4 linked regions of the Diceros bicornis minor genome follow. The protein of the gene in region 3 purifies or fractionates together with the protein of the main gene of each other region. This does not show direct contact. Links are inferred from orthologs where the notes say so. Each region holds a gene or a part of one and is shown on either strand. Other genes may lie near its edges.

Region 1 (7,246 bases), on a different chromosome or scaffold from region 3:
TTCTGGGTTGGGTTTCCAGGGTGTTCCTCAAGCCTGGGTCTCAGCTGTGTCTCTTTAGCCCGGGTTAAGGGTTTTGTTGAATGCCTGTTGAAATTATTTAAATATAGGGAAAACTCCATTTCCCAAACTGCACGTTACGGTTGAAGGTTTAGGTGTGTTTGAGCCCCACCCCAAATCTTGTCTCTAATGAGTGTAAGGCAAACACACAGACCTGAGAAGACACTCTCAGATCACTAGGTTAAGGGCTTACAACCTGCAGAGTGAGAACGGTCTCTTAAAAGCAGGAGAAATGGGGGCCGGCCCGGTGGCGCAAGCGGTTAAGTGCGCGCGCTCCGCTGCGGCGGCCCGGGGTTCGCTGGTTCGGATCCCGGGCGCGCACCGACGCACTGCTTGGTAAGCCATGCTGTGGCGGCGTCCCATATAAAGTGGAGGAAGATAGGCACAGATGTTAGCCCAGGGCCGTCTTCCTCAGCAAAAAAAAAAAAAAAAAGAGGAGGATTGGCAGATGTTAGCTCAGGGCTGATCTCCTCACAAAAAAAAAAAAAAAAAAAAAAAAAGCAGGAGAAATGGAGAGAAGAATTCACAGGTAAAGCCCACCCAAGACAAGGCCTTTATTTCAGGAAACAGAACAATGTTGAAGAAATGCTTTTAGTCCCCGGGCATTTCTGCAGATTTGGAACAAAATATGTACCTGTAATATTGCCCCCGCACTCCACCCACCCCTTGGACATAGCTACTCTATCTAAGAGAGAAAAACCTGACTTCAAAGCACATGTAATAGAGTCCCCTGGGAGCTTTGACACCGGGTATACCAAGAGACAGAAGAGTTCATGGGTTCAAGCATTCTAATGCTCTTCTCATGGAGGGGGTGGAGAATGGGGGTGGATGGCAATTTAGGGAAGAAGAAAGAGAATAAAGGGCAGCAGACACAGCCAAGTCAAACTGGATGAAACAGGCCGTTCCACTTTAACTTCTCTAAAAGCACAGTCTGGGTTTTTGGGGGCGAAACTCTTAGTCAAAGGACTTTCTTCTGCTTTTTCTTCCCTCATACTCTTTTAAGCTTCCCTGATCAGTCCTTGGACCTATTTGGGCCCTAATTCAGTTGGTTTAAGTAAGTATGGGGCTGCCTGAGGAGGACAAGGCCTCTTGTTCCCTCCTGAAAGACTCAGTGGTCACATATTACTTTCCTAACTCTCACTGAGTGTGCACCCGGTCACGTGAATGGATCAAAGCAAATCTGCTCCCATTCTTGGAAAAGCAGCTCAAAGCACATGTTCTCTTGATGGCGCCGCTGTCATTTCTGTGTGGTCAACAAACATCACTTATTGAACACTCACCCTGGACACCACTGGGAGATACAAAGATGAATAAGCTGCTCGGGGAGGTTCGTATACCTAGCAAGGGAAGCAGGTACTCACAAGGGAAAATATGATGCCATAAGCTTAAAAAACCGCATTCGCTGCTTCCTAGTCCATTTGCTAGTATGTTTGCCATCCCCACCTCAAGTGCTGGTGGTGATGAGCGCAGTAGAAGGCTCGGGTTTATGCTTAGGCAGTTTGGCATCTGGAAATTAACATGTTTTTAAAACCAGAGCATCACCTTTCCCTTCCTCCATTCCCTCTTCTCAACTACTGAAACTCAAGATTTTATAGAAAGAAATGGAATGAAGACAGCTCACTCTGTCACCAGGTCCAAGCCCACTCTCATAAAACTAACTGTGGAACATCACACTGAGTTAGAAAGTTGTACTTAAGGGTTGTTATGGGGAAAGACAATCCAATCTCTTCTGTTTATTTTGGCCTATAATAATGATATTACTGTTTTCTAAATACTTACTAGTCCTAGCTACTATCCTAATCTCCTTTGCATATGCTATCCCAATCACTCCCTACAATATACAAGGTAGCTATTTTGGAGGCAAGGAAACTGAGGCTTCATGTGGCTAAGTCACTAAGCCAATATAAAGCTAGTAAGAGGTGAAGCCCGAATCTGAACCTTGGTTTGTCTGAACTGAAGCCCAGCCTTTAAGCATCACCTCATAATGCTTCAACATGCAGCATGGAAACTTAACACGGTGTCCCTTACACCTGCAAGGTGCCTTACCCAGTCCAGATTGTCACCCGTCTGAAACATACCAAAAGTCCCAGTGTTTGCAATGAATGCTGCATCTGTCATTTTAAAGCACTATGGTGTTAGATACACTCTTAAAGGGAAGGGATGTTGACCAAAGAAGCCAAGTTATGTGTGTGTGGTCACAGGCAACATTTCTTTTCCATATTTGTGGTACAAAAAATAACCAGAAGAACAAACTTCTTCCCTTCCTCTTCCAAAGGCACTGGCAGCATGACTTCTTGGTCTTCAAACAGAAAAATCTCAAATACTGGGACTCCTGAAAGATGCAATTAAGGCTAGACACCATCAGGTGGATTTCAGGCAATAAAAATAGAATAATGAACTAACAGCACCAGTAGCAATGAAAATATTGTATGTGTGTATATAATTAATTATTGCATTAATGCACATACAATTGTGCATCTGTTGACAAGCATCCATTTCAAGATTGTGTTCACATACACATTTTCTCAACCATCACAGCAAGGCTGAAAGTAAGAACGGGTACTGATTCTCATTTTTCAGATTAAAAAGAAGGCGCAATAAATAACTTGAAAAGCAGTATAAACACAGCACGTTGATTACAAATGTGGGATGGCAAACTTCTGTTCACTTCCCCAAAGCCACTGAGCGCCGGGAGGGGGCTCTTCCAGGCCGACCTTCGGCAGCCTCTCTCTGCGCCGCCCTGTCCGCAGGCCCGCGCCATTGCCCAGGCAGCCCAGGGCTTCCCGGGCCCAGCGCCCCGCGCTCCCGCTCAAACTTGACGAGCGCCGGGGAGGGGGGGCCAGAGGTTCTCTAACAACAAAAGGCAAAATTCTGTTCCCGGGGGTCATTTTTCTCGGAGCTCTGGGCTCTGCAGTATGACCTCGTAAAAGCGAGGGTCTCCTGCAAAACCGACCAACCTGAAGGCGACAGGGGCGGAGGCCAGGGGCGGTTTCCTGGGCGCCTCTAGACCCGGGGACAGACGGGGGCTACCGGGAGGGCCCCGGGCCGGCGGTCGGCCCGCGGCGGGGAGCGGCATCCGGGGCAGGCGGGGTGCTTCTCGGCAGGAACCCGGCCCTCCGCACGCAGCCAGCCGGCCTTCCTCCGCTCCCCTCCCCCGCGCGCCCCTCCCCCACGGCCCTTTCCCTTTCTTTCTTTCTTTCCCGGCCCGCTCGCCCCCACCCCGGCGGCGCCCGCACGGCTGCTCCGCCAATGGCCGCGGTGCCCGGGCGCGCATCAGCTGATCCGCCCGCTCCCGGCCGCTGGGAGCCAATCAGGGCGCCGGGGGCGGCCCCGGCCGCCGATAAAGGGTGCCGGGCCGCGGGCCTCCCTGCAGAGCCGAGGATGGGAGAAGAGTGGAGCGTTTGAGTAGCACACGCGGCCTCCTTTCCTCTCCGCTCCGTACCTCGCTCTCGCGGCCTGCCCGCCCTGTCTCCTGCTCGCCGTCCAGGTAGGCGCCCGGCCGGCCCGGGGGGCTTCCAAGTGGCGCGCGCCGCCCTCGCCGCCTCCGATCGCGGCTCGGCTCGGCTCGGCCCATTCCCGCCTCCGGCCCCTCCTCTGCGCCTCGGCCTGCGGGCCCGCCCGCGTGCTGCTGCCGCCTGGAACTCGCGGCGGCTCTGGGTTGGCGATTGTGGGCGCGCCCGTCGCCAGGCTTTGAGGAGGGCGGGGAGTTGTTTTGATCTTGCTTTCGCTGCTTGCGGCCCAAAGCGCCATCGCTGGAGGTCACTCGGCGGGGCGAGCTGGGGAGCCACTGGCCGGGCCCTGCGCCCCCGGCTCGGCCGTGTTGTGTGCGTTGTGGTTGGAGTGGCCGGGTGGCCCCCCGCGGGAGCCTGATTCTTCCATGGTGGCGGGCCTTGGGGATCGTCGTGGTCTTGACCACCCTTTAGATGCCTACGTTGAGGCGAATGACCGTGAGCGTGGTTAGTGCGGCCAGCCTCTGCGCGGGGTCCCGGGGACCCTCCACTGTGACTGAACAATGCGGAGTCCGGGCCGCGGCGCGGCGGGTGGAGAGGCCTGGCCGGGCAGAGGCAACCGCGGCGCGCTCTCCCTCCCGCCGACGCCCCCACTCCCCCCCCTCACCCCCCCCCCCAGCCTCGGCCCTCGGAGGGCTATGGCCCCCTGGGCGAGGCCCTGAGATCCCGACGGCGGCCGGAGGGGCGGGGCGCGCCGACTTGCGGGACATTTCAGTGGGAAAAGGCTGCTCTCAAAATGGATTATTCCGGTTGCCCCGGGGGCGGGAAGCGGGGATCCTCCCCCAGCCGCAAGTCCGCGAAGAAGACAACGAGCGAAGATGAAGACGACCTGGAGTCCCAGTCCTCCGAGTCCCCCTCCAACTGCTTCGGCTTCGTCGCCTACTCAGTGAACTCCGGAGAGACATCGCGAGTCAAGCTTAAGACCTTGACGCACCAGCCTGCGTATTCCTGCGCGTCCCGCTGGGATCCCGATCGCTCTCCGACTCCCTCCCCGTCTCCCTGTCCGTCGCCGTCTCCCTGTCCGTCTCCGACTCCCTCGCCCAGAAAGCTCCGGTGCGTGGACCATCAAGAGCCGGAGAAGGAGGAGAGGCGCGAACGCAGCTCCAAAAGGAGACGGGCTAAAGAGGGCAACCCCAACGATACGGTTGACCTTCTGTGGCTGGGGTGAGTGAGGAGGCAGGGAGAACGACTCCGGACCCGGCGGCAGCTGCAAAAACAGCTAAAAACTGCAGAATCGCGTTTTTCTCCCCACCACGTAAACTTGGCACCGCGGCGCCACCGGTGGATAGAGTAGACTAGGCTGTTGTCATCCGACTCATCTCGCAGAAAAGAGCAGGAGATCCGAACCGAGGCTTATGGGAGGAAGTGTGGCTTGATGGAGGTGTAACAGATTGGGGAGGAAAGCTGGAGGGTGGGTTGTAGCTTTGAGTGGGAGCTGAAGGGATGAGGATTGTTCCTTCTGGTAAAGACAGGGTTGGGGGTGGGATTTGACCGACCAACAGGTATTGGTTCTCCTCTAACACGACCTGACAGACGAAGTTCTCCCGTTCCCCCAGGGGAAGGGTGAGGCTGTTTGAGGGAGAAGCAGTTGCTTTCAGCTGGGCAAACATGGACGGTTGCCCATAGAAACTTTGCCACTGTACTTCAGAAAGTTGCCCAAGTCATTGGAGGAGAACAATGTGTTCCCTCTCCAGTCTCCCTGGGCCACTGAGGGGGAGGGGGAGAGAGAACGTTTCCTCCTGTTGAGGCTGGTTTTGTGGCTTCAGAGTTTCAGAGGTTTTGTGGTGGTGGCTTTCAGTTTTTAGCATGCCTCAGCTTTTGAAATCTCAGATCTTTTTGATTTAGAAAAGGGAATTTCCGAATTACTTGAAAAGTGCCCTAGTGGAATCTCAGAATGCCCTTGTCAAACTTAAAATACCTTCTGAAGCGACAACTTCACCTCAGACTGATGGAAATTATGGCAGTGTGCATCTTAGAATCCAACTTGAATTAGCTTTTTTTTTACATCTTCGTGATAAGACACCCCTTAGGCTACAAGGAAAAGGGAAGGCTCACCCAGAAACCATAGCAGCCAAGCCTTTCTGTGGCTGGATTTTACCTGTATTGGGAGACGATATCTGTTCTGTAAGCTTTGTTTCTGAACTTTTGTATTTTATTTTTTTGTTTTTTTTTTTTTTTTTGTGAGGAGATCAGCCCTGAGCTAACATCCGCCAATCCTCCTCTTTTTTTTGCTGAGGAAGACGGCCCTGGGCTAACATCGGTGCCCATCTTCCTCCACTTTATATGGGACGCCGCCACAGCATGGCTTACCAAGCAGTACTTCGGTGCGCGCCCGGGATCCGAACCAGCGAACCCCGGGCCGCCGCAGCGGAGCGCGCGCACTTAACCGCTTGCGCCACCAGGCCGGCCCCAATTTTTTTTTTTTTGTTTTTTGAAGTGTTTTTCCCCCTAGTATCTTAGTATAAAAAGTAAAACAATTCCCTTACCTCATCTACACTGAGAAAATAGAGCTTAGTTCCCACCAGTGTAGATTGTAGCTTGAGGAAGCTTATAAAGGAGATTTTTATCTAATGTGCAACGTTAATCCCCCTGAAAGCAGAGTAAGTAAATATAGGTTTGAGTGTGGGACTTCCAAAGGGAGGGGCCGCCACTCCCGCTGTGACTTCTTGATTCAATTGTCCTTATGGTATCCTTCCTGCAGAGGATCAGTTTGAAGTCAGTGTTCATTTTTTTTCTCTCCAGAACATCTTCCACCATGGCCACCTCAGCGAGTTCCCACTTGAACAAAGGCATCAAGCAGGTGTACATGTCCCTGCCTCAGGGTGAGAAGGTCCAAGCTATGTATATCTGGATCGACGGTACTGGAGAAGGGCTGCGCTGCAAGACCCGGACCTTGGACAGTGAGCCCAAGTGTGTAGAAGGTGAGAGACTGGGGGGAGTGGGAGTCACGATGGGTGGGGCAGCGTGGAGGTGGGCAGCAGCCCAAGGCCAAGTCACTAGATTTGGCCTCTTCATTATTCTTGTTTGTAAAGCTTTTCTAAGGCAGGGCTTTTGCAGACTTTATTCAGTTAGCATTAAGCTCCTACACTGCCTCAAAGGATAGCAACAATGCACCCCTTTATTTAAGTGGGATCTTGCATGTAAGCCAGTATATTGAAGATAAAAGGTTAAAAATCTGTTTTGGGGGGCGAGAGAGCTAAAGACTTGGCTGACTTTGGCATCCCTACTTGATTGGCTCTAAGGCACGCTGAGGAGCCCAGTTTGAAAACCACTGCTCTAACCTGAGTATGCCATCTACTTTACAAACCCTTTGAATACTGTTTCGTACTCATATCACCCAGGTTCTAGATGCAAAGCAAACGCCCTAAGGTGGTTTCTAAATAGGACCAGTCATTCATTTGTTTTTAGTTGATGCCACTTTTGGAAATTCTAAACCGTCTGCCACTTTTGGAAATTCTAAACCGTCTGATTGCTTATCCCACTAGGAGTTATAAGAGCTCGTTTTTCCGTCTACAACAAGCCATAGCCCTCCTGGAAAGGGACCAGAGGAGAAAAACTATGACCTCTTACTTACTCTAAGGATGGCTCACTCTGGTGATAATGTTCACATTTGAATGAATGAATGCATGACTATATTATAAAGCATATATTGTAGCCTGCTATGTGGCAGGTATTAGACA
Region 2 (7,024 bases), on a different chromosome or scaffold from region 3:
AACTCCCACCTCCAACGAGATGCGATGGTGCTTCTCCTGTAGCTGGGTGGCCAAGTCCTGTAGCCGCCGGTTCTCACGGCCCAGCTCCCGTGTGCGTGCCCGAGCCGCCTCACTGGGGGGCTCACTGTCCCCTGAGAAGTCAGGGCTCGGTTAAGAGCCAAGTCCAGGGCAATGGGGCAAAGTACTAACTCATTCTGGAGTCTGCTATGTGCCCAGTGTGATCCACCAGCTGTCTTGCCAATTTCTCATGACAAAGCCAGGAGTCTTTATCCCCACTGTACAAAGGAGGAAACCAGCTCAGAGAGGAGAGCCATTTGCCCAGATTGCCCAGGCTAGAGTGACAAAACTAAGGCTGGGAGAAGATATCTGACTGCAAAGCCTGGGCACTTGCTGCTATGCCTTGTGGATCAGCAACTGCCACCAAGATCTGTGTACAGTGCTCCAAAGAGGTCTCCAGCCAGAAGGGGGTGGCCCCACCAGCATCAGCTCCTCCCACCCATATCTCTAGAGCTCAACTCCAGGATTCACAGCTGGAGCCCCCATCTACAACCTAACTCTTCCGCTGAGAACATGGCTGATCTAATCCTTGGGGAATTCTGGCTGCCTTTGGGCTAGAGGCATTGAGGAGGGGATACTGTGAAGATGCAAATTGCGATGGACATCTCTAGGGTGAGGGCACAAAGAACTAACCTCGGCTGTATACTCGTTGACACAGTTCCTCCACTCGGCGCTGTAAGCGGTCTGAGGCCTCTACAACACGGGACACGGCTGCTTTGGAGAACTCCATACGGCCCTGCAGCTGCAGCTCCACCTCCTCACTACTGCTGGCACCCAGCGCCACCACAAAAGCCAAGGCTGGCTCGCTGAGTGGGGGCCGCAGCTGCATTGGCAGGGTCTCTGGGAAGGAAGGACACACTCTCATGAGGATAAAGGCAGCAGTTACCACCACTCTGCACCAAGTTCCAGACCAAGCCCTTCAACACTCTATGGCTCACTGAATCAACACAACCAATGCCTGTAGTACACCGTTATCCCCATCTTGAAAGTGAAACAACTGAGGTTCAGGGAGGTAAAGTAATCTCCTCAAGCCCACAGAGCTCCCAAATCACTTCCTCAGGGAAGTCTTCTCTGCCTCTCCAATCTAAATGAGAACCACACACGTGTACACACACCCTAATTCCCATTCAAGGAGCCCTATACTTTTAACATATGGTTCAAAATCACTTCCTCCCTGGTGGCAAAAACAGTATTTCTTTTTGCTTATTTCTGTCTCCTCCATCTAGAACGGGGCCAGGGAATTCAGGAGCCTAATATCAAAGTCCCCTCCTCTCCAGGACCTTTCCCAGAATTTAATTAAGCTCCCCAGATCCTACGGCTCTGGCCCTACCCGACGTCCCTGGCTCTGTAAGAGGGGTCTCATCACGTGTTGGCCCTTCCTGGGTCCCAGGCGCCTCTGTCCCTGAAGACAGCTCCCCCTGGCTCTCATGGTGTCTGAGAAGAGCTTCCACAGTTTCATCCAGCTGAAGGGAGAAAGCACCAAAAATGTTATGAATCCCTCAGGTGCTTCCCCAGCATGATACTCCTTTCCCAGCAGAGGAGTCTGAGGATTGGCAGCTGGATTAAGGCCAGGTCGTGGCAAGCAGAGGGGCATCCACCTGGGCCCAGTAGCGGTTGACAATGAGGAGTGTGGCATCATCTGTGGCCTGCCGCTTCTCCAGCTTCTCAATTCGTTCTCGGAGTTCATCTTCACAAGCCTGTCGCTGTTCCAACCGCTCTGCTAGTTTCTTGTTCTTGAACTGCAGCACCTTCAGGTCCATCTCCTCCTACCAAGGAAACAAAGAAGCCAAGGACAGGATCAAGCAGGGCCCAAGAAACCAACCAGAGAGAGACAGAGGAAAACAAATGGAATGGATGGGAAAGGGAGACTGCTCCCCAGACTGCTAGCAGGATTTAAAGAGGCTCAGGTACCCACAGAGAAAGCGTCTTGGTTGTGAGGCGGGTCATGTTCTCCTGCCTCTTTCTAACTCTGAAGTCTCTGACAAGTCACACGCGCACTGGGCACCTGTTTTCCTATCTGTAAAGGGAAGGCAGACGTCATGTCCTCGGTTTCCCTCAACAGAGTGTTCTGTAAAGGGGCTCTTGCTAAGCTTGGGGGACTGGGAGTAAGGTTCCGGAAGATTTGGGAGAAGAACAGAGATTGGAGTCTGGCAAGTTGTGAGGGCTGGGGCAGGAGCCCACGAACCGTGGAAGAGATGCCCCCAAGACGAATGGGCTCTATAAGTGTGGTTGTGGTCTTCTCCTCACGGCTGAGCTTCTTCTCTGGGGGCCCCGAGCCCCCGTCGCCGGCGGCGCGTTTGTTGCCGGGCCCAGACATGGCCGCGGCGGCGAGGAGCGGCGCAGCGTCTCCCGAGGGACGTCAGGCAGGCGGAGGCGGCACGTCTGTCACCTGCAGAAGACAGAGCGCACAGATGTGGAAGCAGCCGGTGCTCCGCAACCCCGAGCCTCCCCCGCACACAAACGCTGGGTCCCGCCCCGCCGGCCCCGGGCCCCTCACCGGCAACAAGATCAACCGAGCCCCGCCATCTTGGACTTCACCGGACGTCACCGGCCTCCCCAGCAGAGAGCGCAGGCGCCAGAGGCAGTGCCGGATGTGGCGAACCTCCTTCATTTCCTGTTTCTATTGGTCGCGCTTTGTCCCGCCTCTCGGGTCCGGTCTGGTGTCTTCCTGAACACTTCCTCTTTCGCTCGGTGATTGGCCAGTAAAGGGTTCCCATGGTAACTGATACTACACTTTCACTCCCTAGCCCTGATGACATCGCCTGCCTCCTGTTAGCCACTTTGAAGAAAGGGCAGCGGGACGGGGCTTGCAACTTACTACGCATGCGCACTCTCTTTTCACTGATTGGCAAGCGCTTTACACTTTCACCCTTCCTCCACGAGACTCCTTAGCAACGGTCACCGTTGAGACCGAGGGAGACGCCCCTCGCGCATTGGCTGCCCCTGGCGTCTCTGCAGCATAGATTGGCTGAAGCGTCGTTAAAGGGCCAGGCCTTGGCAGTCGCTGCCCGAGAACCGGCTGTCCCGGAACGGAGGCGGGACCGCGGGAGGAGCGACGAGATGATCCGCCAGAAGTCCAGCCAATTCCTAGGACTCAGAATGCAGTCGGAGCTTGAAGAGCCCTCCGAACAGCGGCGGGAACCCGACAAAAACCTCAGCTCAGTGGATGAATCGGCTACGCGGATGGGAACAGATGTGCGGATCGAGTCGGGGACCGCGGCCTCGGTGGAAGCAGATGATGATCCTGCAGCCAACTTGTTCCCGGTGAGGGCGGGACAGACTGGTCCTCTCATGAATGTTTATAAAAAGGCTCCCCAACAGGGCGTCACCCGTCGTTATGTTTACTAACGTTCGAGACATTTTCCGGGCTGCCTTAGTGAAGAGTCAGGGGTGTGTGAGCCCGATTGTTAATACGCTCATGAATAATATGTAGGTCCTGCTGAAGCCCAGCCCGCCAGCGTTGCTTGTACATAGTCCTTAAATGAGAAGTTAGCTCGTTCTCAGGCCCGCTGGATATTCGCGATGGGCCAGGAACTAGGGGCCAGGGACAACATAGCTCTGCCTTCCCCAATCCGCTTTCTTTCCGCAGCCGCCGCTGCCCCAGCCCCGGATCTGCATGTGGTGAGTGTGAAGAACCTCGGGAGAAAGTTACACTTCACACTTGCATTATTCCTTTAGTGCTTCCCCAACAGTCCTATCAAACAGCCAGGACATCCCCATTTTACAGATAAGGAGACCAAGGCCCAGAGATGCAATTAGCCAAGGGACTAGAAGCCAGCTCTCCTGCCTTCCCACTCCAAAGAGAGTGTGGGAAGAAGGGAGCCAAAGACTGAGGATGTAAGTGGAATATCATAGCCACTATGGAGCATTGTACAAATGGGGACACTGAGGCCCACAGGGGGGTACTTGCCCAAAGTCATACAGCAAGGGAATGGCAGAGCAGAGATAAGAATTCAAGTTTCCTAACCCTAGGCTTTATAAACGAAGAGAATCATAAGAGTTCATTTAGGCCATACCCGTTATTTAGAGATGGAGAAAGTGAGGCCTAGAGAGGGAAGTGACACAATTGCCTAAGGTTACACAGCAAGTTAGTGGAAGGGCCAAACCTCAACTCAGGTTTCCTGGTTCCCAGCCCAAGGCTCTGTCATGAGACTAATGCATAATGGCCACCAACACCTTTTCTCCTCTTTTCCTGTGACAGGAAGTACTTGGACATCCATTCCATGCAGAGGCTGGAGAAGACAGCCAACGTTCAGGAGATGAGGGAGTATGGGGGGAGGGGGGAGAAGGAAGGGGAAGAAGAGCTCTTGGGAAGGCGGAGCAGGGTGGACTGGGAAGGCATGAGGAATGTTTGGCTCCAAAGCATGTGGTGCACTGGGGGGAGGGGGGTGCTGAAGGGAGGCTCCCGTTGTCACTCACTCCCTCTCTCTCTCTCAAGGGTGCTGGCCAAGCTGTTGGGGCTAGGCGGTCCTGAGCAGAGCCTGCGGGATGCCATCACCCTGGACCTCTTCTCTCATGCACTCATTTTCTGCCGCCAGCAGGGCTTCTCACTGGAGCAGACATCAACCGTTTGTGCCCTGCTCCAAGATCTTCACAAGGCCTGTGTTGGTGAGAGGAGGCGGCTACTGGAGGATTTGAGCTCAGGGAGAGGAGGCTGGGATGGCACAAGTGACCATGGGAAGTAGAAGTAGGGGGAATGCCACTGGGAATCTTTGTTCTGTCATTTCTAGCACTATTATCACACACAAGTTATTTCTCCTTTGAAATCCTCCATTTCCTTATCTATAAAACAAGGATATAGCACTAAATTTATGAGACTGTTCTGAGAAATATGTAATATATGTAAACATATTCACAATGCTCAATAAAATAGCTCCCCCCTTTATTTTCAGAACTGATTTTCTTCAGAATGTTTAACAAGAGCTGAAATTATGTGCTGTTGGTTTATTATATGTCGCTTCCACTACAATATAAGCTTCATAAGGGCAGGATCTTGTCTGTCTTGTTCAGTGCCTAGAACAGTACATAGTGGGTACTCAATATTTGTTGCGTGAATTAACAAAACAAGCCAGGACTTAAACCTAGGTCTGTCCACTTCTAAGGCTCATGCTCAATAAGTAGCTGTTGAGTGAAATGAATGACTGATTATGACGGAGGGGACTCATTTGTCACATCTTGCTTCCCCTCCCAGCAACCCCCCTGGGCAACGTGGAGGAATGTTACCGCTACTTCACCAGTGTTCTTTTCTGCCATGGAGTCAGGGTCAGTTCCCCTGGAACTGGAACTTCACTCTCCCCCAGACAAGGTCTAGTCCAATCTCCTGCCCTCTCTCACACTCATCACCCTCATCTTCCTCTGAAGGCCACAGTGGGCTCTCCCCGCTCCTGTATTGCGGGGCCCTTGGAGAAAAGGCCAGGGCTTCAGGAGCTGGTCAGTCGTCTAACTCCTAATCATCCCCACAGCGGCCCCCCTTCAGTATCAACCTCTTTAAGGAGGAACAGCTGCTGGCCCTGGCAGATTATGTGGTCAACACCTACTTTCGCCACTTCAAGCTCTACAAATATGTCTTCACACCCCAGGTACTGGGCCATGGGCTACAAGAGGCCACCCCTTATCTCCCCCTTTCCCTCAGTGCAGATGCCCTCCTCTCAGCCACCCTCCTCCTCTTCTCAGGTGCGGTTGGATCTATCTTTGACTTACATGGGGCTACAGCCACCCAAGCTCGAGCCAGAGGATGAGATGGGTAAGGGAGAATGCTGGGACCCGGGCTGGGGCTGGGGCCAGGGCCAAAGCCTCTTCCTGCTTCTGGCTTGCAGAGAAAGAAGGTGGCGAGGAAGTGGAGGAGCAGGCAGTCACCCCACAGGATGAGGAACCGGAAACAGTGGTCCAGGAAGAGCCAAGTGAGGACCTGAAGGGGTTAGGGTCCTCTGTGACTTTGGGCAGGTGTAAAATGAAGGGTTTAGACCACATTGAGACTTCAGACTTTTTGTTTTAGTCATGGTGTCCTTTCTCTAAATGATTTCTTATGCAGAAGTCCAAGATGACAAACAGATAAAAGCACAGTCGCTGGGGTGAGGCAGGAGTTCCAGAAAAAGATGATTATAAAACTGATGACAATAATAGCCAGCACATACTTAGCAATGCTGTTGCCAGGCCCTGCTTTAAGCATTTTACATATACTAACTCATTTAATCTTCCTTCAATCCTAGGTGCTAGGTGCTATCATTATCCACATTTTACACAAGAGGAAACTGAGGCATGGAAAGGTTAAATCTGCCTAAAGTCCTGCCTAAGGTCCCACAGCTACTAAGTAGCAATCCAGAAATTCTGGCACAGCCACTCTGCCCACCCCTCTCTCACAGAAGGGCTGGCGGACATTTCCTGAATTGAAGCAACATCGCCACCTGTGTAGCCCCCAGGGGACTCTGGAGGTTGTGTTGCCCAGCTAGGGGCAATCCCTTAGCCCCAGCACCTCTCCTGACCTGCCCCTTCTTCCCTGTCCCTGCAGGCCAGGTCTCCATCCTCCAAGCCTATATCAAGACCCAGCTGAACAAGGAGCTGGGGCAGCTGCAACAGCTGGTGGAGGAGCGGCTCAAGGCCAGTGAGGACAGGCTCAGCAGCAAGTTGACTGCACTAGAGCAGCCTTCCCAGCTACCTGCAGGCAAAGGCAAGAGCAAGACCAAGTGACCCTCAGTGTTTCCCCAATAAAGGCCTGGGCCAGAGCAGCTCCATCCCCGTCCCACTCCTCCTGAGCACCTTCTGGGCTTCCCTGCTGAAGCCAGACACCAGACATAGGGCACTGGCTCTACCTGGCAGGTAGCAGATTTTATTGCATACGTGGCACAGGCAGCACTGACAAGGCCAGGCGTGGCCTTCTGAATGGCTCCTTTCCACTTTAGCTTTGACCACAAAGCCCTGGCCAACGGGGGCAGGGTACAGGGCTGGTCCATATGGTAGTATGATCAGT
Region 3 (7,597 bases):
TATATTACTTGATTATTGATTGAACTTTGATTATTAATCAAAATATAAAGTAGCAATTCAGATTAATCAACTCAAATTAATCAATTTGAAGACTTCATGCCCATGTTAAAATGAAACTTTCCAGGTCCTTTAGGGTAGGAGATGTAATTTTGTTCAAATATTTTAATCTAAATAACTTTAGTTGGGTCAGACAGTTCCTCGGAGTCCCCACAACTCCTTGCTATCTTAGAACGGATTTGCTTCACCCACTTACGTAGCTCTATCTAACCCTTGCAAGCCTTTGAGTTTCAGCCCTGGAAGAATCTAATCACTTCATTTTATAACGAGAAAACTAATGCCCACAGGGATTAAATAACTTGGCCAAGGTTACCCAGGTAGTTAGTGGCACCAAGCCAGAAGCAAAATCGAAGTATACTGGCCCTTTGTACAAGACATTGTATTCATTTCACTACTTTTTCTTTCTGTTTATCAGGACCTAACATTTGTCTGAAATAAAGAGCCTCTGTGTGTGTGTGTGTGTGTGTGTGTGTGTGTGTGTGTGTGTATATATATATATTTTAGTTTTAAAAACGGCATCGTGGCACTTACAATTTTTATTCATATCGCAAGTTTCAAAATCTCATTAATGGATTAAGCACTTTACTACATGCTGTTTTGGCATTTGCACTACGCCCCCGCTTCCACTGCCTTTTAGCTGTTCAGAGAGCTAGTCAAGGGAGGAGGGAGTTATAAAATTACGAAAGAGAAAAGAATGAAGGGCTTAGAGAGGTGAACAGGAATGGGAGGTGCGGTGAGGGGGTAATCAGAGGGAACAACTAGAGGAAGAACAGGGAAGAAGGATAAAGGGAAACAGTGGTTCCTGAAGACCAAAGATAGGAAGAGTTGAGAAATAAAGACAGCTAGGTCATCAATCATTGTTCTTTTAGGGAATGTGTTGATTCTGGCAGATTTTTCCCTAGATTTGTGTAGCCAGCGCCATACAAAACTGTCAAGTAGGCAAAGGTTGTCTTGGAATTCTCCTTTGTACTTTCTTCCATTCAACTCTATTAAAAAACACAGTGTTCTTTCTTCTTTCTGTGGTCCATCCCAGGTTGAAAACTGCCTCTCATTTGACTCCTCAGTTGTAAGCCTGACTCTCTCCTGGAGTGTTTATATTTGAAGTCCTATCTTTTAGTTGTGGAGTACAAGAACCTCTCTGAAAAAGATCACTTACGTATCAGCGAGCTGAGAGGGGAATTATTTGAAAGATGAAGGGATCTTTCCCAGAGTATCTCTAATTTCAGAACCTACTCCGCCTTTATGTAAGGTGCACTTTGTTCATATCCAGCCTAATTTCTAAAGCATCCAGCACACTCCTTTTCCTTTCTCAAAGCCCTAAGTCAAGTTTTTAATGGACAAGAAGGGTACAGAAAGTCTGAGAAGGTAATGACAATCACCAAACAAATAGTACATCTTTATAAAGTTAACTAAGCAATCAATGAAGCATCAATGAAGACATTACCACACAAAATTGGGGTTCTCTTGCCTGATATGCATTAAAAAAACAATTAATTATGGCATCAGCTTTTGGGGGAGAAATCAGCTTTATTCTGCGAGATTGATCTGCAAGGAGAAGGGGGCATGTGCCCTCAGATCTGTCTCCTGGACTCAGGATTTGGGGCAAAATTTAAGTGGTTACGGAAACAGATTGGCATGCGGAAATGCTGGTGGGACAGATTTTGATTGGTGGGCTTCAACCATTTATGGTAAGGTTCTAAACATTTATGACAGCATTCTAAACTTTTATGATGAGTTTCTCAACTTATATGATAGGGTGGGGAAGGAATTTTAACACCGGATCTTCCTGAATGAGGGACTCCTCACTTCTGATAAGAGTCTGACTTTTAAGTTCCAGTCGTGTTCTGATCCTTTGGTTCCATGCGGAGGAGGATCCTTGGTTCCATTGTCATTTCAGGTCAAGAATTCTTCTTCTGCGCATACTCTGGCTACACGACTTTGCAGATTTTCTGAAAGACAATCCTTAATCACTTTGTTGATAAGAGATGGGGTCTGCTCCAACTGGCTCTAAGTGTGCCTGTGGTTACAAAGATGCTCAATAAAAATAAGCAGATATAACCCCAGGTTTATATTCAATTATCTGGGTAATTTAAGGGAAAGTAACATTTCTCATCAATTATCTACTTAGTGATTCAGTAGCGATGCGGACCTTAATTTAGTATTTATGAACAACACCTTATCTCTCTTCATAATTGAGGGTAGAAGAAGCATTAGTAAAACAAGCAGATTTCCATAAATTAGTAAACTGAGGTCACTAGAAAGTTGATTGCTAGAATCAAAATCATAAAGGTCAGTGGAAAAATAGAAACTTACCCAAACCTTCTAGATTCTGGAGCTAGACTGCTCATTTTCAAATTTGGGTTCTGCCCTTGGCCTCAACTCCCCATCTACAGAATGGAAATTATAACATCGACTTTACAGGGTTGCTATGAGGATCAAGTTAATTTAACACTTTAAAGTGTTTAGAACTGGGCTTGGCACTCTTTAAGTGCATGTTAAATAAAATACTGTAACTATCAGTTCTTTTCTGACTCCGAATACATCTAGTTAGGTCAACAAAATGACCTCACAAATCTGACATATAATTCAAGTTGACATTGAATTTACACATCTATATCCAGTTAACTCCTTGCCTTGAACATGGTGCAAATGAAGAAAAGTTATTTTAATTTGTTGCACGGATACAGGCTTCAACATTTCAAAAATGCATTTTCTTTGAAAGGAAACTGAACAGCAGAGTGTGCTTGAGGCATCGCTTCTTGATAATGTTATGTGTATAAATGATAGAAAGCATGGTTTTGCCTTCAAAGTCCATAGTGCTCTTTTTCAACAGCTTTATTGAGATACAATTTACATATGATACAACTCATCCTGTCAATAGCAATGCTAGTGTTTATTAATTGGCTATTATGTCCCAGGCAATAAACACGTTGTTTCATTTAATCTTCATAAAAATCCTGTAAGGATTTTTACTGTCCTCAATTTTATGATTAAACTAAAAGTTAAGAACTTTGCAGCTAGAGGTTGAGATGAGGTTTGAACACACGTTCATATGACTCCAATATTCTTCCCATACTATGCTGCCTCTCTTTGGAAAATTAGTTTGCTCTCTTTCAGAGGTTGGGTGGGAAAGGGGGGAAATGTGATGGTATTCATGGTAAGAGAAACTCTAATTTCTTAACCTGTCAGAAGTCAAATAGTATAAGAAATAGCAGTAACTAGAAACTGTTTTCAGATTCTCAAATCAAGGATGACATAATACAAAATAGTATTATTTTGAAGAAAATAAGCAACTATAACGCTGATGCATACAAATCATAATGCCAACAAACACTACTGTAACTTGGAAGGGTTCAGGACTTCGTACTAGCATAATTACACCCATCATTCCCACCAAATGAGCTGAGGCAGACATTAAAATGGGGAAACAAGAGAGATCATCCAGGAATTCTTAACCATCTTTTAGACTTCCCACATCATCTATGTTATCTTAATAGAGTCAAATCTCTGAACATCCTCATGTTGCCAAAACTCATTTATTAAACAAACAAACATTTAGGTGGTTCTTACATGTTAGGCAGCACTGTGCTAGCCACCGGCTGTACAGAGGTTAAAAAAAAATGGATCCAGTGCAGCCCGGTTTACATTTTAGTTCCGATTTTCGCAGGGAGAGGTAGTGAGTGTGCTGTAGCGAACAGATAGCACGTGGGCTTCGGAACCTGGGGTATAAACTTGCCTCTCCACTTACGGTATGACCTTGGCATTTGATTTTTGAGAGACTCGATTTCCCCATTTGTAACGTAATTGGCTTCAAATAGCTGGTGTTATTATCTAGTTTCAGGCGCACACACCACGGGGAGTTGCGGCCAAGAATACGTCGCTTTATGACATCGAGGAGAAAGGGTTTCTCGCGCGTTTTCTTCCCCTTCGGTACTCCGCATCATTCGATACCTATCTGACACCCTGTCCGCCGAGGAAGTGGGACGTGTTTTCACCGCGGCTGGCGGTCTGGGTGTGCCTGGGGAGGCGGCACAATGACCTGTGGCAGGTCCCCGCACAGCAGGAGCAGGAGCGCTGGAAGGAGCCCAGGAAGGGCACTGCGGCCAGGCGTTCGGTTTCGGATCGTTCTTTGTTTGGGCCAAGATTCAGCGAGCTCGCACGAAAAGCCCAGAGTCACGGAGCTGTCGAAATGTTCTGCCATGTCCTAGCGTCCCCACGCCCCCGCCCCACCCACCGTGAGCGTGAGTGAATGCGCAAATAAGGGCGTTCGGGCGTCTGTGGGAAAGAGGGAGGGGAGGCAGAAGTCGAGGACGGACGGGGCGGTGGCACCGCTCGAGCGGGAGCGGACCGGGGCCCCACGGCGGAGAGTTAGCGCCGGGCGGGCCGGGCCGAGGAGGCCGAGGCGAGCTGCTGGACGGGCGGGGGCCGGTGGGGGGCAGCAGACCACAGCAGCGCGCTCAGCCCGCCCCGGGGCCGACTCTTGTGCCGAGGCGCACCCCCCACCTTCCGGCTCTTTTGGTTTCGACTGCCGGCTGGGCGGGGCCGCGGGACGCCATTCCCACAATGCTCTGGGGCGTGCCGCCGCCGTCGCCGCCGCCTCCGCTGCCGCTAGTGGAAGAAGATGGCGGAAGGCGGAGCGGCGGATCTGGACATCCAGAGGTCTGACATCGCGGCTCTGCTCAAAACCTCGCTCCGGAAAGGGGACACCTGGTGAGGGAAAGGGGCTGAGGTGGCCGCGATGGCCCGAGGATGGTGGGGAGCAGGGCGGGAACTGCGGGCTGGTGTCTTTCGCTGGTGACAGGTGCGGGCAGGTCCGGCGGCGGCCGCTCTGGGCAGCAGGATTTTGGCCACTCCCGAAATGTGGGGGCAAAGATTGGACTCGAGATGAGGCCCGGGGTTGGTGGCCTGTCGGGGCGTGCTGAGAGGCTTGCGGGGAGCGGCGGCGGCGGCTCCTGCGGTTCTCCCCGTCCTCCTTCCTCCGGAGTGCCGCTCCCACCCCGGGCCTTCCCGGACGATGGGCTTCAGCCGCTCGGCGTGAGTCCCTCAGGGTTTGACAGGTCCCGGTGCCGCGGCGGGTCACGGGCTCACCGGCTTCGCTCCTCCAGTCGTTTCCTTTGCCGGCCTCGTCGGCATCCAGCTTCCCTATTATTCGGATTCTTGTATTCTTCCGGGAGGCAGGCTGCAGGATGTTTGCGGCTCGTACTACACAGGTGGCATGTGTCAGGGCGCCACTTCAGGGAAAGAAATCCTAGTTTCCAGTTCCTTGTCAAAAGGAGGGAGAGGAGTAGGGAACCTCGGGCTGCTGAGCGATACCACGTGGTCTTGTGCTTTAGTGGAGGCTCGAGAGAAACCGGTAGCGTTTCTCCTGCAAGTGCAGTCCTTCCCTCCTGTTTGAGGGATAACGTAGGCCTGCAAAAAGTAGATAAGTCCGCTTGAGGCTTAAGTCTCTTGCCAGTATTCAAACTTGTAGAGTACCAAAGGATATACTTAAAATACTGAAGGAGATATGTGGAGATTTTAATACTTGTCGGCCGTATCAAGTGGTATCCGGAATAACTTCGATGTGTGAATATGTAACATAAAGGGAAGGTGCTCTATTAGGAAAGATAATGTGCCTCTTTGTTATAGTAAAAATTATTTTCCCTTCCCAGTGTCACCGTAACAGGGGTATATAGTTTACAGTATTTTGTCATGTACTCCAGTATGGCTTGGTGGAGAGAGCATAAGACTTAGACCTGAGTCAGGCCACCGTTCCAGCGCTTAACTTGCAGTATGACTTTGAGGAAAGTTAATTTAAATCATTGCACCTCGGTATCTTCATCTATGAAATGGACAATAATAATTTCATTATAGGGGTTTTATCTACATTCGGTGAAATATTCTAAAAGATTTTTCTATTTATCACATTAGATTTTAGTTACCTTCTTATCACCACCCTTTACTTCTAGAAAAATGCCCTGGGATTGGGATAATTTTCAAGTAAGCTAGTAGATGGCAGACTTGGGACTTGAATTGAAGTACTTTGATCTAAGTCTTGGTACTTTTTTCCCCACTTCATTAGGCTGCATACTATGTTTATATGATAAAAATCTCTAAGGGTGTAAGCATATACTTCTTGCATTACAGCAAAAAATATGATTTAATAATCGTTATTGTTCATATTGGAGTGTTCCTAAGATGTTTGTTACTGTGGGGAAATTGGACATTTCCTATGACATTTATGTTTACGACACATGTTTATGTTGGCCTGTGGGTTGTTAAAGAGGAAATCAACTCCTGCTTCCTATTGTTTGTTAAAGAACACTTAAAAATTCCTAATTCACCTACCCTATTAACACCTCATGAAAAGACAAATGTGGATTTCCATAAAATAGAAACCTGTAAGTTTAAATCTGGGTATGATTTATATGGATATTGCTTCTCTCTAATGTTATGTTTTTGGTATACTGAGTAATAATTGGTGTTGTTAACATTACAGGATGATAGGAGCAATTTGTGTATTGTCGGCATTAAACTTTGTAAAGTTTGGTATTTTTCAAATGAAAGTCTTTTCGCTTTTTGACAGAGTTACTGTAAATCATTTTAAAGATCTATTTTAGAGATTAAGTAAATACAGGAAGTCCGTAAATTTGAGTGATTTCAGTGCTTTCATTTTAAAGAAAAGGAAACTGAGGCTCAGATATTTATGTAACAGCAGAATGTGCAAATTTTTACCCTCACGCTGATTTCCCCTCCTATTTAAAGGGAAAAAGAAAGCAGGAATGAGATGGTACTGGTGAGTTGGAGAAACCAGTTTGGTTTATATGTGAGCCACTTGCAATTAGCAGGTGAAACTAGTCGAAAAAGGAAATAGTGTAGAGTAAAAGTTTGATTCACAGTTTTAAGGAAAGTAATTTGGTAACTACAAATTTGACAGTGTCTTCATGTGTACAGAACTGGTAAAAATATTTAATAATTTGGTTGTTGAGCTCATGTTTTTGGAACTCTTTAAAAAGTTATTTCTCTTTTTAACGTCTTTAAAAAAAGTCTCTGGATTAGTCATTTCTGGGTCTTTTGGCAAATCCTATCTGTTATTTTATAGCTGAAATGGGTCATATGCAAATGGAACATTGTCTTGGTATATATATATACACGTATATATAAAACCATCTTGGAAAGACTGATTGGTCTATTTAAAAAACTGGTAGGTTGACCATAAGTTTACTCTTGGAAGTTTAATACTGATGTTTTAATGTTATAGTAAAATGCATTAAAATGAATAAATTTCATTAATTAGTTTGTGAGCACTTTTCAAATAAGGACTGTCTTGTAGTACTCTGGTAACTAACTCTAACATCTAGGCAAGGGTAAAAATTTGATTCTGCATGAATATTAGAGTTTCTGTTTATTTGTAAATAGTGAATGATTTTTAGCTGCAAACTGACTTTCTAGAGATAAAAATAAGTTACAAAGTCTGAGATGAGGAAGAACAAACTTTATGATATGCTTGGTACTAGATTTCATGGTGACAGAAAAGTCAAAACTGAGGCAAGAGAGTTAT
Region 4 (7,805 bases), on a different chromosome or scaffold from region 3:
CTACGCATAATCTCCGGCACTAAGTGGGCATAGGACTTGGGAGAAGCCTGGGCCTGTTTCCTTAGCTGCAAAATAAGAGCATTGATCAAGCTCCACGACTGTATGAAGGCAAAGAGGAGCCAATGTGAAACTTCTACATAGCTATATAATTTATCCCTTGAAATCCACCAGTGAAGTCTTTAGGACCCAATAGTAATTGGCTCTCTCCCACCATTAATTACATTCTGGCCACTCATTAGCTAACGTGATTGTCAGACTCCTTCAGCAAAATGTCTTTTTCATAGCTGAGGACTGTTTACAGCAAGGACAAACAATTGGGGCTCATTAATTCAATCATTAGGATACTGATTATGCATCTATTGTCTACTCTAGTCAGTTATGTTAAATAAGCTCTTCAGTCTTCATCAGAGCAATTATGCTAATATGCTTGAAATTTTCCAAGAGTATTATACCTTCATACACTTATCTTGCCTAGCAGCACTCTGGTTCAGTCGATATTGTCACACACAGACAATAATCATCAAGGCATAAGGCCCTATTGTTGATATATGACTACCAAATTGTCCCCCCTTACAAGAGAACTGTAAACAATTTGTACATTGTTCTCTCACGGTTTAGACATTGGCCCGTTTAGTTTTTTTTGCAAAATATGTAGATGTCAGATAATATTTAAATACCTTTATGGGAGTGCTCATTGCACTGAAATTGTATTGTAATTTTCCAAGTAATATTTGAATAATCATTGGATTAGCTATCTAATGATCAACTGACTCACTGATTATTTATGCCTTTAAATACATGGACAAGAAATATAATATTAAGTATCAGACGCCTGGAGAATGGTGCGAAATGTAACTTGTTTTCACCAAATATTTTTCTCTCAACCAGAGCCAACTTCTCTTTCAATCTCTTTCTCTCTATAAATCTAAAAAACCTTACTTGTATGTCTTGTTTTCTTGAGGATTTTGGCCATAAAATAAGAATTTTCCAGCATGATCAACCAATGCTTTTATGATAGGCACAAAACAGATACCTGATAAACACTTGCTGAATTTAATTTTTTTCTTGTATCTACTTTATTCTTGTCTCCAGCTTTTCCCATCAGATGTTAAATATTTTTTTAATTTTAATAAAAACCAGCATGTGAATAAGGACTGTGTGTGTGTGTGTGTGTAGAGGCAGGTGTATACATCTTCAACATAAGTTCATTTAAAACATGAAATTCCATTGTAGCGAGATAAAAACCCAGCTGGTGTCGGAGTTCTTCATTATCATTTACGACAAAAGTAACCCCATACATTTGCTCTTTACAATTTTTACTTTGGTTATCTCATTTAATCAGTGTCCTTTCAATTGCAAATAACTGGACCTTTAAGATGTAGTAATGCTCACTACAACTTAGTTCCACCAGGATAAGCAAATATAGAGACTGGATGTTGACATGATACTCTACAGTTGTATTAAGGACGGAGCAAAGCTGGAAAGAATGCTTGCAGACCTATGACACACATTTTCCACTACACAAATGTTGAATTTCACCTTTCTTCAATTACTTAGTATTTATCTTAGGGTGTGCAAAGACGACTGACAACAAGATGCTGTCCTTGCCCTTCAGGAATTTACAATCTAAACGAGGAGACAAAACATACACACAAGTAAAGTTAAAAAAAAAAACCCCTCAAGACTAAACTAACAGATCAAGACACTAATCAAAGTGAAGTCATGGTATGTAAATTATTCCAACCATTAGAGAGCATTCATAGGATAGTGATATCCTTTCGGCTGGGGTAACCAGGAAAGGCTTTTCAGATTTATCAGAGAGGAGATGGAGTATGAGTTCTATCTTTTGAAAAATCAATACATGGATATATATATATATGTTTTTTTAATTCAAACTACAGAAAATTAATGATGAAATTTAAGTTTTCCACTCATGACTCCAAGGTTCTTTTTCTAGAAGCAACCACCATTATCATTTTTCTCAGGTGTCATTCCATTACATTTCACTACTTTTAAATGGATTCTGAATTGGTTTTGATTTAATTGATTTTGCAGTGTCATGCGTGATGCAGGGTTAAACTCGGTGTCTATCCACATAAAAATAAGACTCACTCAACATAATTCATACAGTAGGGACCTAATGATAGGTCTTGAGGTACCTTAGTGGATTTCCAAGTTGGTTGTTGCCACGGCAATCCTGCTACATCCACTGCCAGTTTCTGTCTTGACCCACTTTGGTTCAGATGCATTTCTAGCAGAGCGCACCGTAGACAGGCTCTGGTTCCTAAGCCCTTAGCACATTGCATTGGTAGCCAGATGCTGCTCCTCTCCTTCCTCAATCCTACAGATCCTGGAAGGCTTCCTAAATGGAAGGGTTAGGGACCCAAAGTTTGACACTTTGGAGACATGGTCTAACTTAGAATTAAGCATATTATCCACTGTATTAACGTATCCCTCAAAGTACCTAACTCCCACACTAGGAGCAGATTCTCCTGGAATTCTGGCTAGCCCTGCTTTTGTTTCTTCTCCTACTCACCCACATGGACACCCAAACGCACACCCTGGTCACATAGGAGAAAATATTTGTGTGACCCAGGGTAGCTTTTTATAGGCCATTTCATACTAAAACTGTTGACTTGTGTTAGCAGGAAGGACCAAAAACTCCAAAACAGTCTTTCTACTTCTAAATCAAACAGCCTTTGCCTTAGACCATCCTCCTGGGTGGCTCTGGGAAGTGGACACAGAAGTCTTGGGAGGTGTAACAGCTCCACCAATTGGCTTCCGGGGCCTCCTTCATGAGCTATTTTTAAAAAGCAGTGAGTAGAGCTGCCTCTAAACTGACAATGAAGAACTACCCCCGAGGTAAACTTCTGAAGGAAAAATTTCTGCTGAGTAGGTTCATCTTAGCATAAATGCATGCAGGCAACACAAGGGAAGAAACCATAACGATTATGGATTTTCTTTTAACTTCAAAGACTCGTGCTATTCACTTTCATATTTCTTATTTTACTTAATCATCCCACAACTATATTTAAATAGCTATCAGTGCAGGTGAGTTCTACTTGCCAATGACCACAGATGCGGAACAGAGCTGCATTCAAAACTACAATTTGCCTAACTCCAGGGTTCATGTGCTTCATCACAATCTTTTGATGAGAAAAGTACTTCCATGTTTGAGGAAAGAGATGGTGGAAATGAAGGAGATTTTGAAAGGAAATCTGGAAAACCTGTAAGACTCAGAGGATCGCTAAATCCGTCTCTCTCCAGGTCCATCTGAAGGCATCGTTCCCCGGGAGGCGTTCATTTCTGAAAAGAAAGAGGACACTTCAACAACTCTTACTGTTTGAAATGGTCACTTGGTACTTCCTGCTTAGTGATTTGTATTGCTAGTGCCGCCTTCCCGCTTGTTCGTCTTGAGTCCCCAATTAAATCCATGAAGAAAGGAGGTACACGAGAAGGAGTGCTGACAGGGAGGCAAGAAAACCGTGTTCTAGTCTTGCCTCTGCCACCAACACCTCTGTGAGACCTAAGTTTCTTTCCAACTTTAGTTCTATAGTGCTCCCTGCCTAACATAGTAGGTGCTTAATAAATACTTGATGTGATTAGTTGGGTTCAATATTTCAGCGAAGGCTTGGGTGTCCGTAAGGTACAAGCGACAAGGTTACCCGAGTGCGGTTACGCCCCCACCAGCTTCAGGCAGCCAGCAGCTTAGGGCCTTGTAGCGCAGACGTGGGAAGTTGGGGCTTAAGAACTTCGTCTGAACAGTGGAGAAATGAAGGAGAAAATAACCCAGCATTCACGGGGCATCGTGCTAGGCGCTTATCTTTCAGACTTCGCAAGGACCATCAGAGCATGCATGATTAACACCATTAGACAGAACCAAAATTCCGGTTAAACAAAAATACCTGGCATCCCCTACCCTGGCCCTAATACCCATAAAAGCCCCGCCCTGGGCTTAGTTACTTCTCGGACCTCGCCCCCATTAACCACCACCACGGCCCCGCCCACTCATTCGCATACGGGCGCGCCAAGTGTGGGTCGGGGACCCCGGCTTCTGCGGAGCCGCCTTCTGCCCTGACTCGTCCCGTCCTCCGGGCGGCCCCCGGGCCTCCCCAGGGGATGAGCACGTATCCACGCCCGGCTTGATTACGGAAGGTGGACCAGGCGGCGGCCCCCAACAGGCCGCACCCAATGGCGCTGGCGAGACACCGAGGAGGGGGCCCGGGGCCGAGGCAATGAGGGACGGGTGGTCGCCAGCGCCGCAGATTACGTGCCTTCCCCTCCCTTCCCTTCCCGAGCCTCTCGTGCAGCGCGCCGGAGACGAAGTCAACCGAAACCGCAGCCGTCCCACCCCGCCTCGTCCTCGGCCGCCGGGCCGCCCGCCTGCCCGCGCCTCGCCTCACGCTCTACGGGGGAGGCGGGACCAATCAGCGAGCGACGTCTCCCTTCCGATTCGAGGCCCCTGACGCGCGGCTCACACCCCGAGCACCCCGCGCGCTGATTGGTTGCCCGCGCCGCCAGTCCGGCGGGAGGGCGGGCCGGGCCGAAGGGAAAGGAGGTGGGGAGGTAGTAGCCCGCGACTCTCCGAGTCCCGCTCGCGCCCCGGCCCTTCCCGGGCGCTCGACCTCCTTTTTCCCTCCTCCGCTCGCCCCGTCTTCCGTGAGCGCAGAGCGCTGCGCTCGGCCGGCGTGCCTCGCGCCCTAACGGGCGGCCGGGGGCGCCAATCAGCGGGCGGCAGGGTGCCAGCCCCGGAGCTGCGCCGGCGAATCGGCGGGGCTCGCGGCCCGGGGTGGGAGGCGGGTCTACCGCGCGGCCGCGGCGGCGGAGGAGCAGCTCCCAGCCAGCAGCCAGCGAGCGCGGAGCGAGCCGCCCGGAGGTGGGTGCGCCGCGCCGCTGTGGCCGGCGGCGGAGGGCGCAGGGCGGAAGCGGAGGTGGGCCGGCGGACGCGGCGGCGGAGCTTCGGCTGTCCGGGCGGCCCAGGAGGTGGGGGGTGCGGGCGCGCGCCCGAGGGGAGGAGGGGCGGCGGCGGCGGGACGCGCGTCCCCACCCCCTCCTCCCCGCGGGCGGCGGCCGGGCCCGCGCCCCCTCCCCGCGCGCCGGGGCCGCGGGCCGGGCACTGGCTGGGGGGCGGGGCGGGAGGCCGGGCGACCGCGAGAGTGTTTTCAGTTCCGCCTCCCATCGCCCATTCCCCTTTCCCCTCATCCTATTCGGAAGAGGAAGGAACAAAAGGTCCCGGACCCCCGGCTCTGACGGGGCGGGACCCGGAGCCTCGGTGCAGGTACAGCCGGGCGCCCGGCGGGCCCCGGGGCCGGGGGTGTGTTTGTGTTGGGCTCGAGTCGTGAGGCTCGCCGCGTCACATGGCCACGGGCTGGGGGCTGGGGTGTGGCGAGGTCGGGGCAGCGCGAGCCCGGCCCTTGGGTGCGGAGCGCGGGGCCGGCCGGTCGGCCGGCGGGAAGGGGTCGGCGCCCGGAGCTGCCCGCCCGCCGGGCCCGGGGCCGGCTGTGGCCCTTCCCTTCCGCCGCCAACACACTTGGTAGTTGGTCCTGATGTTCAAAGCCGGAGGGACAGAGCTGTTGTTGCAGGAGTTGTTGGGGAGCCGTGTTACGAGCGTGTGTTGCTTTGCTTCCACTTTTTAATTTTTTTCTGGTCCTGTAACCTTTGTGAACCATTGTAGTCTCGGGGTTCCGAATTGCTTGTGTGTGCTCTCACACAAACACGCACACTGGTGCTGGTACTCTGTCGAGATTCTTCTCTGCTCACTTGTGAAAGTTGCTCTGTGAGTGGAGCCTGTTAGTTTTTGTCACACGCCTTTAGAAAGCACGCTAATTGATTTCACGTATTTCAAACTTCGGTTTCAAATTTGCAACTTTAATTGTTCTCTCCTGGGGGATACTGTCCTTGGGTTGGGTATTTTTGTGTTTTATTGACTTAACCCTTATGTGGTTGTGGTTTCCTTTTGATCCTAAACAAAAGAAAAACAATACCTAGGTTGGTTTTGGTATTCCTTCCTCTTGACCCTTTAAAAGCTAAATACTACCGGTTTCTTGTCAACTAAACCTTTATTTAAAAAAATCTCCATGTAAAACGAATTTGGAAGTAGTATTTTCTATCAGCGATGTCTTATTTGTTACAGTTTGGAGTATCCTAAATTTTGGTGTTTTAAACTTTTAAAACGGCACATGTAAAGTAATTGTTAATGAATAAATAAATGATCACGCAGACTTAGAGTAATTCCATCTTTCTAAAAGTGGTCCCTGAAATTTGAATTAATTTCTAGAATTCTGAGTGATTCTGTAATCTTAGTTCCTTTTCATTTTCTCGCTTCTGTTTTCATATGAATTGAGCCTGTACCACAGATTGTAAGGATGTTTTTCTTAAGCCTAAAAAGATGATAAATTTGCTGTCAGTACTCTGAAAATACATTTGCTGTCATTCTGGTTTTGACCTCCTTTTAAAAAAAGATTTCCTTACATGAAAGTGTAAATCAAATAGTTAAATGAAGTTTGAGGAGTTTTAACGTGACCAGATAAATAAGTGAAGCAAATAGAACAGAGATGGGAAAAATAATGTAGATTTCATAAATGTATTGTAGTTTGAGAATTTTTTCATTTGCTTAAAAAAACCCATATGGGATATTGATAGAATTTTCTCCACCAAAAGGTCGTTTAGCAAACATTTATATTAAATTCAGAAAGTAACGCTAATTTCGTTTTTAAAGTTCCTTAGTTTTTGCCGTAAAATTAGTTGTGGTAGTAAATAAGAATAGTTCAAGTGTGTGGGCATGTGTAAGGTAAGTGCCCCGTTATACTCTTAATGTTAAAATTAAATGAGTTTAAAGTAGTTCATTGGCCAATTTTAATTAATGTAATGTGACTGGGAACATCCGTTTCTGGGCTTGTTTTAGTAGGAAATTGCTCTTAAAGCTTGGTTTTTATACTTTGTAGCTATGCTTTCTAAAGTGATTTCAGGTTATAGGTGTTAAACAAAAGTTTGGTTTTTCAAGGTTGTAACTTACCTGTACCTAGTAATAAGTGTTCAAATCTCTACACAATCTGTAAGGTTCATGAAATAATAGTGTTGTAAGAAACTGCAGGGCAATTTCCTGTTGTTTGTGGCTTGTCAGGCTTGGTATGTGTTTTAACTCTTAAGAAAGAATTTGGGGATGGTTTTGTATATTTCAGCAGAAATTCTCTTTAATAGGAACAAAGGTTGTTTCTACTTGAAGGTGGCAAAAGGTCCCCTTTTCATTTTTGTATTATAAATATTGGAATCGTGTTGCTATAATCTTGTTGCTTCACAATGGGAAAAATATGTGAGTGAAAAACACTCTAGCTGCATAATCTGCTGATCAAAGACCTATTGAATTTTACCTTTTGCAAATATTTTCAGTTTTGGCTTTATAAAGATCTGAAAGCCCTGCTTATTCTTGTTTGGTTTTGATTCTGTTGGTTTTGTACTTTAGGGTTCCAAAGGCCTCGTTTTGTAGCAGCTTTTTTATACAGGTGTTTTTGTAATGCATATAAAAGCTGTATTTAGTGCAGTCTGGCAGATGGTGGTTTATTCATATTCTTGGGACAAGAGTCATTTTTAGAGGCTGGAGAGGGGCATGTCTTTTGGATTCCTTGTCTTTTGATGGGAGTAGAGGAGCCATTTTTAAGCTCTTAGTTTCTGTAAGAGGAAAGATGTTTTCCACTGAGTATTGCCAAGGTATGTCAGAAAATGTGAAATAGAAAGATTTCAAAACCAATTCAGGAGAGGTTATGCATTTATTCAACAAATAACTTGCATTTATTGAACAAGTAGCA

The links.
Region 1: the proteins of USP15 (region 3) and GLUL purify together in Homo sapiens (affinity purification with mass spectrometry; 3 studies listed by BioGRID, with this or other methods). This does not show direct contact. The link is inferred for Diceros bicornis minor from reciprocal best matches to the Homo sapiens genes USP15 and GLUL.
Region 2: the proteins of USP15 (region 3) and RNF40 purify together in Homo sapiens (affinity purification with mass spectrometry; 4 studies listed by BioGRID and IntAct, with this or other methods). This does not show direct contact. The link is inferred for Diceros bicornis minor from reciprocal best matches to the Homo sapiens genes USP15 and RNF40.
Region 4: the proteins of USP15 (region 3) and SMAD2 purify together in Homo sapiens (affinity purification with western blotting; 4 studies listed by BioGRID). This does not show direct contact. The link is inferred for Diceros bicornis minor from reciprocal best matches to the Homo sapiens genes USP15 and SMAD2.

Annotation. Positions count from the first base shown.
Region 1 is NC_080743.1:84,977,282-84,984,527, forward strand, and holds the start of GLUL (glutamine synthetase), read left to right. Parts: upstream 1-4,233; 5' UTR 4,234-4,302; coding exon 4,303-4,730; intron 4,731-6,308; coding exon 6,309-6,487; intron 6,488-7,246. UniProt on the Homo sapiens protein: Glutamine synthetase that catalyzes the ATP-dependent conversion of glutamate and ammonia to glutamine.
Region 2 is NC_080765.1:21,217,818-21,224,841, forward strand, and holds the start of RNF40 (E3 ubiquitin-protein ligase BRE1B), read right to left. Parts: upstream 3,019-7,024; 5' UTR 2,555-3,018; intron 2,447-2,554; 5' UTR 2,375-2,446; coding exon 2,243-2,374; intron 2,209-2,242; exon of another isoform or gene 1,973-2,208; intron 1,824-1,972; coding exon 1,656-1,823; intron 1,521-1,655; coding exon 1,388-1,520; intron 898-1,387; coding exon 691-897; intron 132-690; coding exon 10-131; intron 1-9. Other genes in the region: CFAP119 (cilia- and flagella-associated protein 119), read left to right, coding at 3,118-3,321, 3,647-3,678, 4,259-4,324, 4,496-4,665, 5,249-5,800, 5,874-5,957, 6,566-6,744.
Region 3 is NC_080756.1:7,670,007-7,677,603, reverse strand, and holds the start of USP15 (ubiquitin carboxyl-terminal hydrolase 15), read left to right. Parts: upstream 1-4,581; 5' UTR 4,582-4,678; coding exon 4,679-4,767; intron 4,768-7,597. UniProt on the Homo sapiens protein: Hydrolase that removes conjugated ubiquitin from target proteins and regulates various pathways such as the TGF-beta receptor signaling, NF-kappa-B and RNF41/NRDP1-PRKN pathways.
Region 4 is NC_080755.1:40,633,150-40,640,954, reverse strand, and holds the start of SMAD2 (mothers against decapentaplegic homolog 2), read left to right. Parts: upstream 1-4,793; 5' UTR 4,794-4,876; intron 4,877-5,194; exon of another isoform or gene 5,195-5,278; intron 5,279-7,805. UniProt on the Homo sapiens protein: Receptor-regulated SMAD (R-SMAD) that is an intracellular signal transducer and transcriptional modulator activated by TGF-beta (transforming growth factor) and activin type 1 receptor kinases.